Linked DNA regions of Arabidopsis thaliana. The protein of the gene in region 1 purifies or fractionates together with the protein of each later gene. This does not show direct contact. Each region holds a gene or a part of one and is shown in the gene's direction. Other genes may lie near its edges. The genes, in order: AT4G19006, RPT5B, AT5G26360 and PAF1.

What was found.
Region 2: the proteins of AT4G19006 (region 1) and RPT5B fractionate together in Arabidopsis thaliana (co-fractionation; one large-scale study listed by BioGRID). This does not show direct contact.
Region 3: the proteins of AT4G19006 (region 1) and AT5G26360 fractionate together in Arabidopsis thaliana (co-fractionation; one large-scale study listed by BioGRID). This does not show direct contact.
Region 4: the proteins of AT4G19006 (region 1) and PAF1 fractionate together in Arabidopsis thaliana (co-fractionation; one large-scale study listed by BioGRID). This does not show direct contact.

Annotation. Positions count from the first base shown.
Region 1 is NC_003075.7:10,408,638-10,413,211, reverse strand, and holds AT4G19006 (Proteasome component (PCI) domain protein), read left to right. Parts: upstream 1-1,744; 5' UTR 1,745-1,864; coding exon 1,865-2,014; intron 2,015-2,317; coding exon 2,318-2,764; intron 2,765-2,958; coding exon 2,959-3,039; intron 3,040-3,132; coding exon 3,133-3,329; intron 3,330-3,418; coding exon 3,419-3,863; 3' UTR 3,864-4,064; downstream 4,065-4,574. Other genes in the region: AT4G19010 (AMP-dependent synthetase and ligase family protein), read left to right, coding at 1-58, 286-475, 759-904, 982-1,049, 1,181-1,283, 1,372-1,497. UniProt on the Arabidopsis thaliana protein: Acts as a regulatory subunit of the 26S proteasome which is involved in the ATP-dependent degradation of ubiquitinated proteins.
Region 2 is NC_003070.9:2,935,977-2,940,901, reverse strand, and holds RPT5B (26S proteasome AAA-ATPase subunit RPT5B), read left to right. Parts: upstream 1-1,538; 5' UTR 1,539-1,643; coding exon 1,644-1,760; intron 1,761-2,104; coding exon 2,105-2,221; intron 2,222-2,460; coding exon 2,461-2,568; intron 2,569-2,686; coding exon 2,687-2,878; intron 2,879-2,976; coding exon 2,977-3,168; intron 3,169-3,264; coding exon 3,265-3,383; intron 3,384-3,460; coding exon 3,461-3,548; intron 3,549-3,629; coding exon 3,630-3,749; intron 3,750-3,929; coding exon 3,930-4,070; intron 4,071-4,149; coding exon 4,150-4,227; 3' UTR 4,228-4,374; downstream 4,375-4,925. Other genes in the region: AT1G09130 (ATP-dependent caseinolytic (Clp) protease/crotonase family protein), read left to right, coding at 32-105, 326-379, 454-537, 750-830, 1,043-1,171; RBOHB (respiratory burst oxidase-like protein), read right to left, coding at 4,407-4,516, 4,606-4,925. UniProt on the Arabidopsis thaliana protein: The 26S proteasome is involved in the ATP-dependent degradation of ubiquitinated proteins. The regulatory (or ATPase) complex confers ATP dependency and substrate specificity to the 26S complex.
Region 3 is NC_003076.8:9,254,552-9,260,759, reverse strand, and holds AT5G26360 (TCP-1/cpn60 chaperonin family protein), read left to right. Parts: upstream 1-1,731; 5' UTR 1,732-1,868; coding exon 1,869-1,893; intron 1,894-1,987; coding exon 1,988-2,049; intron 2,050-2,140; coding exon 2,141-2,213; intron 2,214-2,513; coding exon 2,514-2,581; intron 2,582-2,661; coding exon 2,662-2,731; intron 2,732-2,926; coding exon 2,927-2,995; intron 2,996-3,076; coding exon 3,077-3,148; intron 3,149-3,263; coding exon 3,264-3,337; intron 3,338-3,628; coding exon 3,629-4,291; intron 4,292-4,367; coding exon 4,368-4,493; intron 4,494-4,639; coding exon 4,640-4,744; intron 4,745-4,845; coding exon 4,846-4,920; intron 4,921-5,013; coding exon 5,014-5,199; 3' UTR 5,200-5,707; downstream 5,708-6,208. UniProt on the Arabidopsis thaliana protein: Molecular chaperone; assists the folding of proteins upon ATP hydrolysis. Known to play a role, in vitro, in the folding of actin and tubulin.
Region 4 is NC_003076.8:17,158,530-17,162,932, reverse strand, and holds PAF1 (proteasome alpha subunit F1), read left to right. Parts: upstream 1-1,776; 5' UTR 1,777-1,957; coding exon 1,958-2,308; intron 2,309-3,177; coding exon 3,178-3,663; 3' UTR 3,664-3,889; downstream 3,890-4,403.

The DNA of each region.
Region 1 (4,574 bases):
GAGTAGGAAGTTCATTGAAGATTTCCTTCAGACTCTTCCTCATGTCGATTTGATTCAGGTCTCTGAATTTTACTTTTGGATGTCGTTTTAGAAAACTGAATTAAATGTTATTCATTCATAAACTCAATAAGAAGTAGAATCTACATTTTTTAGAAAAATTTGACATCTCTTCCCAAAAGAAACAACTAAAATTGATTTAACGAGGCCATGACTTTTTGACTCACACTATTATTTTCTTTACATTTAGCTGAAAGTGTGTATAAAATGGATCACATTTTGTTGCAGGGATATGGAATGACTGAATCAACTGCAGTTGGAACACGGGGCTTCAACTCGGAAAAGCTTAGTAGGTATTCTTCTGTGGGACTACTGGCTCCTAATATGCAAGCCAAGGTAGTAGATTGGAGCTCTGGTTCTTTCCTTCCACCAGGAAACCGAGGAGAGCTCTGGATACAAGGTCCCGGTGTCATGAAAGGTAGATAGATTCTTCCTACTGTACTTCTTTACCAAAATAGTTGAGATTTTCCTTCTCAGTTCATGAATAAAGTCTTTTGTCAATGGTTCAAATCACTGAGAAACACTTGCATCCTAATAAATGTAAATATAGATTGGATCTTCCAACTTTCGTGGGGCTTATTTGGTGCTTGTGTTGATAGATTAGGCTTATTATCTTGTTCTTGATTTTGTGCTACATATTTTTATGGAACAGTTTTAATTTTACTTGGAGAGAATCTGAACACCGTTCATTTGTCTGTCAGGATACTTGAATAACCCAAAAGCAACTCAGATGAGTATAGTTGAAGATAGTTGGCTACGTACTGGGGATATTGCTTATTTTGATGAAGATGGTTACTTGTTTATTGTTGACCGTATTAAGGAGATTATAAAGTACAAAGGCTTTCAGGTAAAGGAACAGCAGTTTCTCTTTCAGCCAACTCTAAATTAGGAAATATTAATTCTTTGCATTTATGGTTTTTGCAGATCGCTCCAGCAGATTTGGAGGCTGTTCTTGTTTCACATCCCTTGATTATCGACGCTGCAGTAACAGCGTAAGTTCGAAAAAACAAATCTTGATCATTTACTAAACTAGTTTAATAAGTGAAAGATACTGCAAATCCAGTTTTGGAGAATTCGACAGAGTCTGTTACTCTACTGAAAGTATCCAAACTTTCCATTTCAGTGCCCCAAATGAAGAATGTGGAGAGATTCCGGTAGCATTCGTTGTCCGGAGACAAGAAACAACACTTTCAGAAGAAGATGTAATAAGCTATGTAGCTTCTCAGGTTAGGTTCCCACTAATTCAAAATGGCTTTTCCCATTTCAAAACACTGATCATTAATGTAATACATTATTATACATTACGTGTTCTAGGTTGCACCCTACAGGAAGGTGAGGAAAGTGGTGATGGTCAACTCTATACCAAAATCTCCAACTGGGAAGATATTGAGAAAGGAACTAAAGAGAATTCTTACAAACTCTGTTTCTTCAAGACTATGATTCTTTCTTCATTTGTTTGGTAATAAGTAGCAGACAGAGAGATCCACTAATATAGCCTTCATAACTCAATTCATTGGTTTTGTAGCATCAAAAGAAATAAACAGACACATTCTTTGATTCTCAGTGAATAAAGCATTGTAACCCAATACGGAAACAAAAATTCTTTCTGAGCCCAAAATGTAATTTTAGCCTTAGTATTTTATTTACATAAAAGTCCTTTTAATCGTTGGCTATTGCATTTATCGCCCAATACTTGTCTTTGAGCTCAAGAAATATAGTTTACTAAAAGGCTGGGTTTTTCTGGATTTCTTACTCCCAAACCGATACAAGATCGAAGCTTTGCCTTCTGTTTCTTCGAAAATCTACCATGGCTGCTCTACAATACCTTGAATCGCAGAAAAATGCGCACCCAGAGCTTGGTGAGTGGTACAATTCGCTCGCAGATCTGTACCAGAAGAAGCTCTGGCATCAGCTCACTCTTAAGCTCGAGCAGTTCATCGCTCTCTCTGTCTTTCAGGTCAATCTCTTGAATTTTCATCGTTTCGTAGTTCTTCTGTGTGATTAGGGTTCATAGATCTCGAGAAAGTTAATAGGAGTCGTCATGTTAGACTTGGGTTTATAGAGAGATCTGAAGGATTCGTTCCGACTCTTAGGTGATTTTTCAGATTCATTGAAAAGCTTTGTATTGGTGAATTATCGCACTTCTGTGACCAAAGCTTTCGAATATTTTAGCTCAGAGATACCCAAAAACTCAGCTTTACAAGGTTTACAGATTTGTTAATGACGTGTTTCCCCCTGTTTATGTTCATAATCTTTGCAGGCTGGAGATGCTTTAATACAGCTTTACAACAATTTCATCACTGACTTTGAGACGAGGATCAATCTTCTGAAGCTTGCGCATTTCGCTGTTGTAGTCTCCCGACAGTATCCTGAGAAAGAAGCTGCAGTTAGTTATCTTGAAGGAGTGATTGAGAAGCTTAAAGCTACTAAAGAGTCAAGGATAAATGAACCAATTAGCTATATAGAAACACAAATAGCTTTGTTCAAGCTTGAGCAAGGTGACCAGAAGGAGTGCAAGAAAATCTTGGACGATGGAAAAAGCCTGCTTGATAGTATGACTGACATTGATCCATCAGTTTATGCCAACTTCTTTTGGGTCTCTTCTCAGTACCATAAAGTCCGTCAAGAGTTCTCTGAGTTCTATAAAAATGCTCTTCTTTACCTCGCTTATACGTCTGTGGACTCACTCTCGGAATCATTTAAGCTGGTACGTCCCTCTGAATGTTCTAATCATTCATATATGATATATGTAGTCGTTACGTTACCAAATGGTCTTTTAGCAATTTTGGATAAGTATTAGCACTCTATGAAAGGAAACTTACAGTGAAAAATGCTTTATCTCTGTAAATTGCTTTGTGTTCCAATCAAAATGTTAATATCATATACTTTCGTTTCTTTCAGGATTTGGCTTTTGATTTGTCGCTTTCAGCTCTACTTGGGGAGAATATCTATAACTTTGGGGAACTGTTAGCCCATCCAATTGTAAGTTTCCCTTCATCCTCCAAATTAGCAAACCACAGATTTATTCACCATTATAGATAAAAGAACACTGACATGTTATATATGTTATGGCAGTTGAAAAGTCTGCTTGGAACAAATGTGGAATGGCTTTACCACATTCTACAAGCATTCAACCACGGAGATTTAGTTCAGTACCAAGAACTCTGTCGTGTGCACAATGCATCGTTGAGTGCTCAACCAGCACTGGTTGAGAATGAGAAGAAACTATTAGAGAAGATCAACATTCTCTGCCTTATTGAGATCATTTTCAGGTATTCATTCTCTGTAGGAGTCATCTTATACCCATATACAGATGAAAACAAACTTAGTACTTAACTTGTATATAACATCTTTGCCACAGCCGACCTGCTGAAGATAGGACCATACCTTTGAGTGTCATTGCCGAGCGTACTAAACTTTCAATCGAAGATGTTGAGCACCTTCTCATGAAGAGCTTATCGGTGAGTACCTTTTTCTTTCCTCTCTCTTTCTCTCTATCTCATTCTATCAGTAACATTAAAAATCTAAAGAAGATTGGCAAGACGCAGACTCGAAATCTTCTTGAATGTGTGATTCTGTATTGGTTGATTGTGAAAACTGAGGAGAATGAGTTATTGCAGGTGCACTTGATAGAGGGAATACTAGATCAGGTGAATGGAACAGTTTACGTCTCATGGGCGCAACCGAGGGTGTTAGGAATACCGCAGATCAAGTCATTGAGGGATCAGCTAGACAGCTGGGTCGATAAGGTTCACACCACATTGTTATCTGTTGAGGCCGAGACACCTGATCTTGTTGCAGCTTAAACTCTTCTTTCCTCTTTTTTCCTTCACTGTTCGTTTAAGCTACAGATTGTAACATTCTCTGAGGATTAAATGCAACTTCCTTTTAAGTTTTTAGGTATTACAGTTATACTTTTGAACTTTGTTCTCCACAGACACATGAATCTATCCTATTAAGTTGAGTTTCATCGTTAGTGTTGCCTTTAAGGCTTAAGCCTATTTGCATAACAAATGGTCCAACTTTTGTTATTAGACGTGTGAAAAACTCATAAATCTCAAATAGTGGAATGAATCCAAATTGTCAACTTCTGAAATGAAAAGTGTAAGGGTAAAATAGTCAAAACATATTAAACCCCAATTATCACCATCGTTTCGTTTCAATCAAAATTTTCCGATTTTGAGATTTTGAAACAGAGCAGTCAAGTCTCAAAGACTCCAGCTCATCTGTCTGCTTCGTAAGCTGCTCGCTCTCTAAATGTTTTGTCTTCTGGGGAATAGATTTTAGGGATCATCGGTAGATGCTGTTGGATTGACATAATCCAGATCTGATTTCTTCTACAAAAACATAGCTTTCTTCTCTGGGAACAATAGATTTTGATTGTTGTTTCTGGGTTTTAGATTTCTAATGTTGGGGTTTTGGTGATTCGATTTCTCAATAATGCTTCAAAATCGAAAATTGAATCGGTTAGAGCTATTTTGGGAATCTCTTTGCGTTAATTCGAATTAGCATATTTG
Region 2 (4,925 bases), on another chromosome or scaffold:
CCTCTCATACGTTTGATTCATTATGTCACAGCGATGATTCAGCAACCACGTGTACCTTCTTCTGGGTTGATGCCTGCCAGTGATGTCCTGATTCGGGCCAAAGAGGTTTGATGAATCGCTCTACACACTTAATATTCTGGAAATTTAAATTTGATCGAGATTTTCTCTTTCTGCTTTGCTTCTACCTACTTTCCTATATTATATCTCTGATAATTTGGACAGAAATTTCTCACTTAAGCATTTGGTTCAGAATTTCATGACCTAATTAGGTGAAGAATCTGAGTTTGATTACTTCATCTTCCTCATTCCTGTTATGCAATTGCAGGTCATTACAAATAGGGATATACTTGTGGAACTACTATCAAAGCATACTGGGAATGTGAGTGCGAAATATTTTCATAACTTTGTGGAGAAATTTGATAGCTGATTAAAACATTCTTATATGTCATATAGTCCGTGGAGACTGTAGCTAACGTAATGAGAAGGCCATATTACATGGATGCACCAAAAGCTAAAGAATTTGGAGTCATTGACAGGGTAAGTTTGGGCACTGTAATTTTTTGATGTTGCTTTTCATATGCACATACTAAAAGATTAAAGGTTACATATCGTCACCAAGCAAAGTAACCTTTCCAGTCAAGTTTCCCTCTCTTCTACCTTTTCCTGATGTTTGCCTGTGCGTAATGATGAATTTGTTTTCATACTTTTCCAAGTTAAAGCTTTAAAGATGGTCTCATAATCATTGGCAGATTCTTTGGCGCGGTCAAGAAAAGATTATTGCGGACGTGGTTCCTTCAGAGGAATTCGACAAGAATGCAGGGATTAAAAGCGTAGTATGAGTCTAGTCTTAAGTTTTCTTGGCCTAAATCATACTGTAAGTGACACGCGTAACTCTCCATTGCTACTCTAGGCATGAATCCATCTTATTCATGGAAATCTCTGATGAAGAAATACAAATGCATCTAACTTACCTGCAAATCATTAGAACGCACGCTTGTATTTACAATGATTTGTATTTTGCTTGAACTCTACTCATTTGCAGGCGTCATGGAGAAGAACAAATAGACTGACCAAAATCACATTGGCCGCAGACTGCCTTGTTTCAAATCACTTGGTAAATGTGAACATGCGATTAGGAGAATCATACTTAAAGGATCTTGAAATATTATGATAAAATTGTAATGTGTTTGTTCGTTAGCAATAGTAAATACAATCTTCAACTCTCTTCTTCACCCTTCCGATTTGAATATTGAACAGTTTCTTACTTGTTTCCATTTGGCTTCACTTCTTTTTTGGTCAGCTTTTAAGAAAACTACATCATCAATTTGACCAGATTGCTTAGCAATAACTTGATTTTAAAATAGATATAAGATACATTGTGAAAAAAATAAAAAGGATACAAAACCAAAAACGCTCCGATGCCGGGAATCGAACCCGGGTCTCCTGGGTGAAAGCCAGATATCCTAACCGCTGGACGACATCGGATTTGTTGTTGGGTATTGACTGTGATAATATTTAATACAATACATGTGTTATTAAATTAAAGCTGTTTCTTCGCCCAAAAGCCAAACTCTGTTTCCTATTTATGTCTTCTGAGATCTCTCGTAGACTCTTACAGTGATTAACTCAGGCTGCTAAGGGAGATGGCAACGGCGATGGCGGAGGATACGAGCTTCGAGGGAGACCAACTAGCTTCCATGACTACTGATGACATCGGTAGAGCTTCTCGTCTCTTAGCCAACGAGATTCGCATCCTCAAGGTCACCACCCTCTCTCTCTTCTCTCTATATTTTTAATCTGCTGGCTACTTGGAACTAGTATATTTCTTCATTCCAAGCTCACTATTACCTTAATTTGATTAGCGACACTTTGATTAGTTTTGAAGAAGATGGATGATGTCTGAGAGCAACGATAACTCTTGTTTCATATCACACTTTTTATCAGTCAAAGATATCGAAATTCACTCAAAGTACTTGTTTTTATAGTTAGATAATTATAGAATATGATTAGAAGACATTTATATTTACTGGTCTTTTGCTCATTGGATGAAATTCACCAGAATTTTTTGATGTCTTTTTCTCTCAAATACGTTGATTTGTTGTAGGAAGAATCGCAGAGGACAAACCTTGATTTGGAATCAGTGAAGGAGAAAATAAAGGAGAACCAGGAGAAGATTAAGCTTAACAAACAGCTTCCTTACTTAGTTGGCAATATCGTTGAGGTACTTTCACTGACTCTTCTCTTGGGGTGTTTCACATTCCTTATATGGGGCTTTTGGTTTTGGTATGTATAACATTCCTTTTTGTTGAGTGACACAATTGTACTATGCTTTTGATTACTAGTAGTGTTAGCCTGATGAATTCCTTGAATCTTTGCCACAGTAGTTCAGACATTTTACCATCAAATTTTTTTTTGTGTAATGATGGAATTAGGATTTGATCTATTATCCGTGCTTTCTAGATTCTTGAGATGAGTCCAGAGGATGATGCAGAGGAAGATGGAGCGAATATCGATCTGGACTCTCAGAGGAAGGGAAAGTGTGTCGTTCTAAAAACATCAACTCGTCAGGTGAAGTTTTAGACTCTTATATCACCGTTAGAGAGATTTTCAGAACTAGTGGGGAACAAACTCTGACTACTAGTGTAGTGTTTGTATAATGATCTCATGGGTTAATTATACTTTTCAGACCATCTTCCTCCCTGTTGTTGGACTTGTTGATCCAGATACATTGAAGCCTGGGGACTTAGTTGGAGTTAACAAAGATAGTTACTTGATTCTGGATACTTTACCTTCTGAGTATGATTCAAGAGTAAAAGCAATGGAGGTCGACGAAAAACCTACTGAAGACTACAATGATATAGGGGGACTAGAAAAACAGGCTAGTTGATGACTCTCCTGTTTCATGTTTCCTTAGTTTTTAGTATCTCTGGTACAATATTTGATGTTGGTGACTCTCCTGTTTTTGTAATTAAACAGATACAAGAACTTGTTGAAGCCATTGTGTTGCCAATGACTCATAAAGAGCAGTTCGAAAAGTTGGGTATCCGTCCACCAAAAGGTGTACTCTTGTATGGTCCTCCTGGAACCGGAAAGACGTTGATGGCCCGAGCTTGTGCAGCACAGACAAATGCAACTTTCCTCAAACTAGCAGGGCCACAACTTGTTCAGGTATGAAAACTAGAGTAAACGTAACTGATTTTGATCTTGTTCCTGTGATATTTTTTGAACCAAACGGAAAGTAACTTTTTTTAGACTTATGTATAGATGTTCATCGGAGATGGAGCAAAACTTGTCCGTGATGCTTTCCTGCTTGCAAAAGAGAAATCCCCTTGTATTATATTCATAGATGAGATTGACGCAATAGGGACAAAGCGTTTTGATAGGTACTCTATCTAGAGTCATGTCATAACTATTTTATTTTCTTTCTGATGACTAATGCTGACTTTTAATTGGCTTACAGCGAAGTTAGTGGAGACCGTGAGGTACAAAGGACAATGTTGGAGCTGCTCAACCAGCTTGATGGATTCAGCAGCGATGATCGCATTAAGGTTGTTACCCCTCATATTACCCCTGCAAATGTCTATTTATTTAGTGAAAGGCATGAAAAACTCATAATTTTACAAACTTAGGTTATTGCAGCGACAAATCGTGCTGATATACTAGATCCTGCCCTTATGCGTTCTGGTCGTTTGGATCGTAAAATCGAGTTTCCGCACCCCACTGAAGAAGCTAGAGGCAGGATCTTACAGGTTCTGTATCCTTTACTGCATCTTTTCTTTTTTCTTTCTTTATTTCTATGTCGTTTTAAAGCTAAAATTAGAGAGCTTCATGCACTTAGACAAGTCTTGCTGTGATTTTCTATGTATTCCGCGGATAACTTATCTTGGGTACTGTTTTGTTTTTGCATAATGTTGGCGATGGGGTTACAGATACATTCAAGGAAAATGAATGTGAATGCAGACGTCAATTTTGAAGAGCTTGCTCGGTCAACGGATGATTTCAATGGAGCTCAACTCAAAGCAGTGTGTGTTGAAGCGGGTATGCTTGCCCTGCGCCGGGATGCAACTGAGGTATGCATATATCTTTCGTCTTAGTGGTTGTAACTTTAGGATGTGGATGATATGGAGGAAATGGTAAATGTGTGTGCAGGTGAACCATGAGGATTTCAATGAAGGTATAATTCAAGTACAAGCCAAGAAGAAAGCAAGCTTGAATTACTACGCCTAAGTCCTCTTTTATGTACACTCTTCTTTCTCCTCTTTACATTATAGAAAACTTCAAGTTGTAGTCTCAACTTTTGAATCTAGAACCCCTTCAAAGTGTGGTTATAATTATAATAGATATCAGCTTGACATATTTTGCTTATTATTTTCTAATGATGGTCTGATGGATGAATAGAATCGAAACTAGAAATTTTCCTTGTGGAACTCAAACTTGGTCGTAGTTTTCCTAGAGAAATCTTGAGCCAGTCTCTTTAACTCTCCTATGATGCATGTATTACCACAGTAGAAAACCCCTACCAACAAAATAGAAAAAGGAAAATCAGTTACTTACTAGAAAGATTCTACAATAGCTATGGAATTGTTGTAATAGCTAGTGACATACCAACTCGTTGATTGACGTGGTTGACTGCGACGTGCTTGAAGACACTACGCCAATTGGGTCGAGCGAAATGGGTTCGGACCCGAGTGCCCGATACGATGTCAATGCCGCTCTTGGCGTGGTGCAATGACTGCAACATGGTGATTAGTGCTGACCTCGCATCTCCTTCCTCATACACGCTAGTGCAGTAATTATGTAGTTCAATCATCCCCTCACTATCATACTCAGCTACCTCGTTCATGACCTCACTGAACCATTCCAATGATCCTTGCTCTCTTGTTACCCAATAAAAATAAGCTCGTTTTGTGGCAACATAGTTTTTT
Region 3 (6,208 bases), on another chromosome or scaffold:
AGTTCAGAGTCATACATGGCTTTCAAAGCAAAAACTATAGCCTACATAACAAGGTTCAACACAACCTGATTACAAAGAATTCTATAAAACAAAGATGGGCCTATTTCTTTGATCACACTGTGTCTTAGTAAAAACTAAGAGTCTCAAAGTCTGTAATCTGAAAAATCAAAGGAAGAAAAATTCAGGGAAACGAAACAAACACAAATGAGAAATCAAATAAATTAGCGAACCAAATTACAAAAACCTAAAACAGGAGGGAAAGCACTTACTCTTGTTATAAGAAGTAGACTTGACAAAAATAATCTTAAAAGGAAAAGATGATAACACTGAAGAGTTTGGAACAACTTTCTGACGGGAGATGGATTAGGTCGAGGGAGATTATACTATTAACAGAGGAAAAAAACCAAAAAAAACTCCATTTATTTTTAATTTGTTCATACCTGCGTTATTTAATTTGGCCGTTTAATACCTAAGTTAATTTTTATGTTCATTAAAAACCTTCATTTTTTTAAATTTTGGCAAAATCAGACATGCGAGTTAACGGGCGTTAACAATGGTAACGGAATCGCTAACCGCAGTTAAAACTTAACCATATAATGTTTACTATTTATATACAATTTGTTTTCTAATAGTTATGATCATATTATCTTAGTCCCAGTGGTTTTGAGAGAGATTATCATCCTCATCAGTTCGAGATCGATTCTCATCTCCAACAAATTTTTTGATTTTTTTTTTTAACAAAAGGCAAAATCTCAGTAATCCGAGTTACGATTTTGAATTTGATTCTGAGACTTTCTTTTGTTTAGCACCACGTTTGTTAGATCTGCTTCAATTCGATTTTGAGAACGAGCTAAATTAGATTCCTTCATCTCTTCAATTCATATTAAGGTTTTCAATTTCTAGATCGATTGATATGAATAAGTCAGCAAAGATTGCATATTCCCAGTTTTTGCTGATATTTTGCGTTGAAAAATCCAGACTTTGTTTTTCATTGTTAGTAACGTTGATAGCTTATAGAAAGATTATGTTACCATTAATTGCATCTGTTGATAACAAATAAGATCGATTATCACAAATCTATGTTGTATTAATTGGTCTAACATTTGGGACTTTTGGTTGGTGATTGATTTTGGTGCAATATCCTTTGGAGAAAGAAGTGAAGCAACACACAAGTGCAAAGCCTGTTGAAGTGAAAGAGATGGCTGACTTCGATTTTGCCTTTTTGTTAAAAAAAAAAGAAAAAAAATCAAAAAAAATTTTGGAGATGATAATCGATTTTGAATCGATGATGATGGTAATCTCTCTCATAACCACTCGACTAAAATAATATGTTCATAATTATTAGAAAACAAATTGTATATAAATAGTAAACATTATATGGTTAAGTTTTAACTACAGTTAGCGATTTCGTTACCACTGTTAACGCCCGTTAACTCGGATGTCTGATTTTGCTAAAATTAAAAAAAAAAAAAAGGTTTTCAATAAACATAAAAATTAACTTAAATATTAAACAGGTAAATTAAATAACGCATGTATTAAACGGACAAATTAAAAATAAATGAAGTATTTTTTGTATTTTTTCCCTCTTAACAAATTAGGTTAACAATTCTCCCGTTCTCACGCATCTTTACCTAATCTTCCGGATATAAAAATACTATTACTTTGTTTTGATCTTACAAAAAGGCCCAATGTGTGAAATATTAGTTAATGGGCCTTAGGGATGGGCTTCTCAACCTAAAATGAAAAGCACGAGAGAGGATGAAAGAAATCGGAGAAGGCAGTAGGATCTTCCACTTGCCGCTCTTTGAAAATCACTCGCCGTGTCTCTCTAAGCTTCTTCTTCACTGTGAAAACCTCAGATCGCAAATATGCACGCACCGGTACTCGTTCTGAGTGAGTATCTCCATCTTCCTCCAGATCTCATTTCCTCTAAATCGATATTAGTTTTTTGGTAACGAGATTAACTCCTTTTGTGAAAATGGTTTAGGCGATTCGTTGAAGCGTGAATCTGGAAGTAAGGTTCATCATGGTAATATCCAAGCTTCCAAGGTAAATTAATCCTTTTCTATGGCTCTTTTTCTCTGTGATGCTTGTTGCTTCTCTCCTCTGGTTTCAGATCATCGTTGTTTTTGTGGTACAGGCTGTTGCTGATATCATTCGTACAACATTGGGTCCTCGTTCTATGTTGAAGATGCTTCTTGATGCTGGTGGAGGTCTTTTTCTAAACACTTCCTCTTTTTTTTAGGCTTTTCATATCTCTGTATGTGGGTAGTAGATCTCTGTAGTGAGGGAATTAGGTTTAGTGTTTTTAGCTTTGGAAATGTTTTTCTTATGTACTCGTTCTTTGTTGAAGCTATTGTTCTTCAGTTTCGGTGTTAGTTTTATATAAACCCTAAATCAATATTTGGGTTCTGTTTGTCTTGTTTTTTTTTTTTTTCTGTCTACCTTTAATTTTTCTTAATCTGTGTGTTATCATCATATCTTACCCCTCTTTGTTTCTTGGATCTTTACAGGGATTGTTGTTACTAATGATGGGAATGCTATTCTTCGTGAGCTAGATGTCGCTCATCCTGCAGCTAAGGTTTTACTTCTGACCTTTCTCTATCTATTGTTCTTGTTAAAATTGTTTTACTTATCCATTTTTGACTCTGGTGATTGCAGTCAATGATTGAGTTGAGCCGTACGCAAGATGAAGAAGTTGGTGATGGGACAACGTCTGTTATTGTTCTAGGTACGAACATTCTTTTTTGCTAACAAATAGTTTGTCAATGGCTTGGTTTGGACCAGTTTTAATGTATTTTTAACTAAAGCACAAACAAATTACTTAAGGATATTATGGGTGCTGCAGTATTCAGTTCAACATCATGATCTCTGTTTATAATCATGGGTTCTTGAAGTCCTCTTTTTGTTTGCTTTTTGCCAACAGCTGGTGAAATGCTTCACGTTGCAGAAGCGTTTCTTGAGAAGAATTACCATCCCACAGTCATATGCCGAGGTATGCTGGCACTATGAATTGCTTATTGTTGTCATGTTACACATGTCGTTTTCATCTTAACGAATGCATTCTTCTCTGCAGCTTACATCAAGGCTCTCGAAGATTCTATTGCTGTTCTTGACAAAATTGCTATGTCAATTGATATCAATGACCGTAAGTCCATTTCTACCTTGTATTTGTTCATTTGGAGTTGACCTTCAGCTACTTTGGTTTCTGAAGTTAGTTTTTCTTTCACGTTTGTACTGATGGAAGAATGTGTGAGTTGCAGGTTCACAAGTGCTAGGATTAGTCAAGAGCTGCATAGGGACAAAGTTCACTAGCCAATTTGGAGATCTTATTGCGGTAAGTACCGTAATTACAGTAGCTTCTTACTTATGCATTACCAGTCCAGGTTTTATTGCTCCTTAATATATATTGGATATGTCTAGACAAGTAGGTATAGATACAGCATACATCTTGAAGTGACTTTTTAAATGTAAGATGAGTAACCATGAAATAACTTGAATTTGATGACTGCTTTCTTCAATTCTTTTGGTGGTTTTCGATTGTTGAAATACTTGTAGTATGAAGTTCTACAAGTTTGATTGTCGTTGGTACTCACATGATTTTATATGACTTTATGTACTGTTTTAGGATTTGGCTATTGATGCCACTACTACTGTTGGTGTTGATCTTGGACAAGGTTTGAGGGAGGTAGACATTAAAAAGTACATCAAGGTTGAGAAAGTTCCTGGTGGTCAGTTCGAGGACTCTGAGGTTCTTAAAGGAGTTATGTTTAACAAAGATGTTGTTGCTCCTGGTAAAATGAAAAGAAAGATTGTCAACCCACGGATTATTCTTCTTGACTGTCCTCTTGAGTACAAGAAAGGTGAAAATCAAACCAATGCTGAGTTGGTTAGAGAAGAGGACTGGGAAGTGTTGTTGAAGTTGGAAGAGGAATATATCGAGAACATTTGCGTTCAAATACTAAAGTTCAAGCCTGATTTGGTTATCACAGAGAAGGGTCTTAGTGACTTGGCCTGTCACTATTTCAGTAAAGCTGGGGTAAGTGCAATCCGAAGGTTGAGAAAAACTGACAACAACAGAATCGCCAAGGCTTGTGGAGCAGTAATTGTGAACAGGCCCGACGAACTGCAGGAGTCTGATATCGGTACTGGGGCTGGCTTGTTTGAGGTCAAGAAAATTGGAGATGATTTCTTTTCTTTCATTGTTGATTGCAAAGAACCCAAAGCCTGTACTGTACTCTTAAGGGGACCAAGTAAAGATTTCATCAATGAAGTGGAAAGAAATTTACAGGTTCGTTGGTGTTATTTACAAATCTGTATTTCTTAATCATTCATAACCTTATATGCCTGAAACATTGTCCCTACAGGATGCCATGTCTGTTGCAAGAAACATTATCAAAAACCCAAAGCTAGTTCCTGGTGGAGGAGCCACAGAGCTAACCGTTTCTGCCACATTAAAACAGAAGAGTGCAACAATTGAAGGCATAGAAAAGGTCGGTTTTGCTTTTATTACATTTTGTTTCCTTGCCTAAAGTTGTGTGATTTTGTGTCAAATCTATATCGAGCCTCTAAAACGAGTATGCTGTTCCCACGGTCGCTGATAAATGTTCTTTTGTTGGTCTGAATCTTATTTAAACAGTGGCCTTATGAAGCAGCTGCCATTGCTTTCGAGGCTATTCCACGTACCCTGGCTCAAAACTGTGGGGTTAACGTGATCCGTACTATGACTGCATTGCAAGGGAAGGTACTGTCCTGTACTAATGAACCCCAACTGCCATCTCTTGCCCGTTGTTTAAGTATATACCAACTCTTTTCTCAATGCTTCAATTGTCGGTTTTGGTGCAGCATGCAAATGGTGAAAACGCATGGACTGGTATTGACGGGAACACTGGTGCAATAGCTGATATGAAAGAGAGCAAGGTAAGGATTAAATCACATAACCTTGGTTGATTCTCACAACATGAAACCAATGTGACTCAGAGAGTTGACTAAAAGCTTTTAACAATTTTCCAGATATGGGATTCGTACAATGTGAAGGCGCAAACTTTCAAGACGGCTATAGAAGCAGCGTGTATGCTTCTAAGGATCGATGATATAGTGAGTGGAATCAAGAAGAAGCAAGCTCCTGGATCTGGACCTTCAAAGCCTACCATTGAGACAGAAGGAGATGCAGACAACGAACAAATTCTTCCCGACTAAGCGAAGGGAGAAACACTTTGGTCTCAGCATAACTCAATCTCTGTTTTCACTTGTTTAATGGTTGCACTCTTTTGGCTATTATCTTCCCTTGACATATCTTTTAATTCTGCAGTTTGACTTGGTGAGATAAGATTTTCGAGGGTGGTTTTTTTTTGTTTGTTTTGGAATATTAGCTTTTTTGAATTTTCGTAGTCACTTTGTTGGTTTTTAGAGTGCTAGTTGTTATTGTCTTTTTGAAATTTCTGGCACTAGAGACTTTTTTAGTTTGTGTCGTTTTTGTTTGAATATCATCAAGTATGTACTTCAACTGGATCTTTAGTTGACCGGTTAGTGTCAAATTGTGTTTTTGTTTGAACACCATTAATTGCATTTCAGACGTACGGATCTGTTATTTAGAGTTTTGGGTTATTATTCAGGTTGACTCGGTCCGAATTTATTTATACGGGTTGGTTTTGTTACTGAAAACCTTTAAACTTCGCTAGTTAAATGAAAATTGAAAGTTTAGTTATGTTGATCTTGATCTAATTTTACAGTAAACTAGAGGAAATACGGGCTACGCCCAAATTTATTTTAAAATTTTATTTCTGTTTTTTGTATTGTTTTTAGTTCATATATTTTTTTTTAAATTTGCTATATCTAAATAGAAAATTAGTTTGAATTACTTATATTTTTATATACTATCTATTTGTGTTATTTAAAATGAAACTGAATCACCTTTTATTTTTATTTTATTTTATTAAAGATGATTGTAATATAAATAGTTTTTCTTAACTCAAAATAAATGGGTTTGTTTTCACAAGACTTTTTTATTTTTTCATTTCTTTGAGGTTTTGTTTTGAATAATTATTGGATTTTCTTTTGTTGGGTTTAGTTCATTAGTTGGAATTATGTATAGTAAACGTATTAAACTCAATGGGTGGATAATTTGTAAAATTTATTTGTAAAAGCTAATTTTGTATTATTAGATTGGTAGCATATTGTTCAATTCTGCATATATACTAATCATTTA
Region 4 (4,403 bases), on another chromosome or scaffold:
ATTGAAAACAAATCTAGAAAGTAATTATAAGTGAAAACATATAAAAACGTTATAAATCATAGTATATGCTAACTTTAACTAATCTATATAATAAATAAATTAAAATTTTGAAAACAAATCATCAAATATCAAATAAAGAATAATTCTTGGGTTCACTTCTAGGGGGTGAACCTAATTTATTCACCCCCTCTTTAATAACAAATCAATATTTGCCATGTTATTTGATTAAAAAAACTTAAAACAATTAATATTATCAAAATAAAATAATTAAAATAAATCATTAAAACCCCACTTTTTTGTAAATCCAAACCGATATATAATCTCGTTTAATTACCAAATCTAAGCCCTAATTCTCCTTTATAAACCCAAACCGCCATTTAGACTTATTTAATCGTTAAAAAACAAACCATAATCGTATTTTCTAAACCCAAACCGACATTTAACCTAGTTTAATTGTAAAATCTAAATATGTTTATAAGCCCAAACTAATATTTAACATCGTATAATCATAAAATCTAAACCCTAATCGTATTTTGTAAACCCAAACCGATATTTAACCTCGTTTAATCATAAAATCTAAACTCTCATTTTTTCTAATAAACTCAAACCGATACATAATTTTCTTTTAGTGGCAAATTAGATTTAATAGTTAAATTAATTTTTTATTATTATTACTAGTTTGTTAGTTGGGTTTAAAAGTTTCATCAAAGGAGATTTCATAATTGAATAAGGTAAGTGACGATTTTAAAATAGCTTGTTTTTAGAAGTTTTTCGTTCTAGGTTTGTTCTTATTGCATGTAGCTAGTTAGCGTCATGAACTAGTAACTGATCTTAGGGAGATAAAACCACAAAAGTGCTGAATTTATTTACTTGATCTAACATACATAGACTAGAAACTACGTTATAACAATACAAAAGCTTAGTTGTAGAGCTTTGTTTGTGGAGGTAAAGGAACTTGATCTCATTGGGTGATTGATTTTGTGGCTACAACAAAAATCTGAGTAGTTAAGTTTTTATCGATGCTACAAAATTCAATCCCCTAGTCATCTGTGATTCCAGTTTAAGGAACTTGAGCTAAACTGAATATGCTTTTGTTAATCTTCTTGTATGAGACAATATGAACTTTCGCGATATTCTTAAAGACTCAACGATTAATTATCATACAGTTGATAATAATAGTCGAAAATAACAATCGTTACCAATCCACTTCTATATTATGTATAAAATGATTAAAACTATATTATAAAACAAATAATAATTCAAATTTAAATAAATATTTAAAAATCAAAATTCTATTAGTGTTGTACAAGCACATGTTATGATCTACTTCATCACTATATTCGTCAAAACTAAAAATGTATGACTTTTCAGCTGTCATAAAAGTTTAGAAATATACAATAAATTAATTTTAAGATATCAATTTTAAAAATGATAAATGTTCTAAAATTTTAAATAGGATCAATCACAGAGACTTTTTTTTTGTAACAATTCAAATTATATGATTACTAATAACAAAATCGCAAAGTTTTATATTTATAAAATTAATTCATTTTTATTTAGTTTCAAATAATATACAAGAATATTCAAGCTAGTGTGCTCTGTTTTGTCTAATGTTTTTTTTTTTACTGAGAACTATTGACCAAACTCTTTTGTACATATTTAAAGATTCTTAAACAATTTCACATTTCATCAAAAAAAAAAAAAAGAATATACAAGGATTATCCTGTATAAAAACATAGGCCTAAAGTCTGTATAAAACATATGCCTAAAGTCTTAGCCCAATAAGCTAGATACCGAGCCAATACAAAGCCCAGAATTTAATAGAAGCCCATTAAATCGAGAGAGAGATCGAGAGCATCCATGGCTTGAAGGAAAAGAAAAGTTTTGTTTCTGAACTTTCGTCTCTATAAACCCTTTCGACGACGAGTGAAGAAGAAAGCGAGACGAAGAAGCAAAGATGTTCAGAAACCAATACGACACAGATGTTACGACATGGAGTCCAACAGGTCGTTTATTCCAAGTGGAATACGCCATGGAAGCAGTGAAGCAAGGATCTGCAGCAATTGGACTCAGATCTCGTTCTCATGTCGTTCTCGCTTGTGTTAACAAAGCTCAATCGGAGCTTTCTTCGCATCAGAGGAAGATCTTTAAAGTCGATGACCATATCGGTGTTGCAATCGCTGGTCTCACAGCCGACGGTCGTGTATTGTCTCGGTATATGAGATCGGAATCGATTAATCACTCTTTTACTTATGAGTCTCCTCTTCCTGTTGGTCGTCTCGTTGTTCATCTTGCTGATAAAGCTCAGGTTAGGCTTTTGTAGTTTGTTGATTGAGATTTGGTGGAATTTGGAATCGATTACGCTTGGTTTTGTGTGATTCGGTGATAAGTGTGTTGTAATTGTTAATTGAAATTTGAGGAATTTGGAATTCGATTACACTGTGAATCACTGAGCTCAAATTTAGCCATTAGCTTCTTGACTTTGTGCTTAGGGTTTGATCTGAGCTGATTAGGATTCTAAATTGCATTAAATAAGAGTTTTCTTAATTTATCATAGCAGAAACTTGAATCTTGTTTAGTGAAATTGTTTGCATGTTTGTTGTTACTGCTGCATAATCTTGTATTTAAAAGTTTAACCATAACTAAGAGCTTAACAATAGGATTCTAAAAGAAAGAGATTTGTGTTTCTTCTGGTGCTTTTGCTTGTTTCTGCAGTTTTTATTTGGAGTTATTGATTTTCAGTACCTCTAAGAAGTGAATTCCGCTCTTTGTTTTGCATCGTTCTCACCACTATGCACTTATCTTACCAGTCAATTACTCCTGCTAGGTGCTTGTTCGACATCTTTTCTGTAATTATGTGCTACTTCTCACTTTGTTTTTCCACCTATCTAATGGTTTCTTAAGTTAGCTGTTTTATCCACATCTGCATAAATACTTTTCAAAGCCATTGGGAAGAGCTCCCATATATTATATGTGTTTATAAAAGGAAGGGTCTTGTATTTCCTCATTGTCAAACTTTATTAGTTGGTTTACTCTTTTGTAGGAGAGATTTTACTTGACAGGTCCAACTTAAGTTACATTATTGTCATATTTCTTGTCTTTACCAAGGGTTTTTTTTGTTATATTTCTTGATCTGGAAAAGGAAATATTTATGTGTATGTTTGCCTTTATGAACAGGTCTGTACCCAACGATCATGGAAACGACCCTATGGTGTTGGTTTGCTGGTAGGTGGATTGGATGAGTCTGGAGCCCACCTTTACTACAACTGTCCCAGCGGAAACTACTTCGAGTACCAAGCTTTTGCTATTGGATCCCGTTCCCAAGCAGCAAAGACCTATCTGGAACGCAGGTTTGAGAGCTTTGGGGATTCTTCTAGAGAAGATCTGATCAAAGATGCTATTTTGGCTGTTAGGGAGACATTGCAAGGGGAAACACTGAAGAGTTCTCTCTGCACAGTCGCTATTCTAGGAGTCGATGAACCGTTCCACTTCCTGGACCAGGAAGCAATACAGAAAGTGATCGACACATTTGAGAAAGTGCCAGAGGAAGAGGAAGGAGAAGGCGAGGCTGGTGAGGGTGAGGCCGAAGCTGCCGAGGCTGCACCAGCAGAACGAGGTGGTGGTGTTGCAGGTGACCAAGACGTGGCTCCAATGGAAATGTAAGGCTTGTGTGTGTAACGCTGGAACTATTTTATTTCGATGTTAGTTGGATTTTTACTTTGCAAAATGGCTGCGGGTTTAGATTATATGCTTGAGAAGTTGAAACCATTTCGTCATTTAAACTCAATAGCTGCCATCAAGACTTTCTCGTATTCTGGTCTTTTGGTTTAAATCTGAAATCTGTTCACGACTTCCTATCTCTTTGGTTCTGCAATTCCTTGCTAAAAAAGTGTGTAGTGTCATCTAACTAGGGCTGTCAAGCAGGCCAAGCCAGCCTTGTTAGGCCTGCCCTGCAGAGGGTTTTAACAAAAAAATTGACCAGCCTCAAGTTTCCTTCGAAGGTTAATCTAAAATTTGTTAACCCAAAGAACTCCAGAATTTAATGTTAAATCGTAAATTATGATAAAATCATTAGCTCGACGTCATTTAGTCTAATAGAAAACATAAGTGGCCCCCTACATGGTGACGACTACGAAAGACTTTGGATAATGGGAACCATGTAAACCAGACCCATTGACTTTGCCGTCTCTCTTAATCATTTGCTTTATCCAGCATCCGTTCTCGTATATACACCAAATTAACCATCAAAGGAAAAAAAAATGATCAAGAGTTTATCATTGCATCTAAGAGCTAGTGGATCATATAAAATTGAATTAACAACGAACAGTCATGTTTTCGGTGTCAAAAGACATTGTGAATTAAACATACGAAACTACGTCAAATCGTTTAAGGCAATTGGAAAA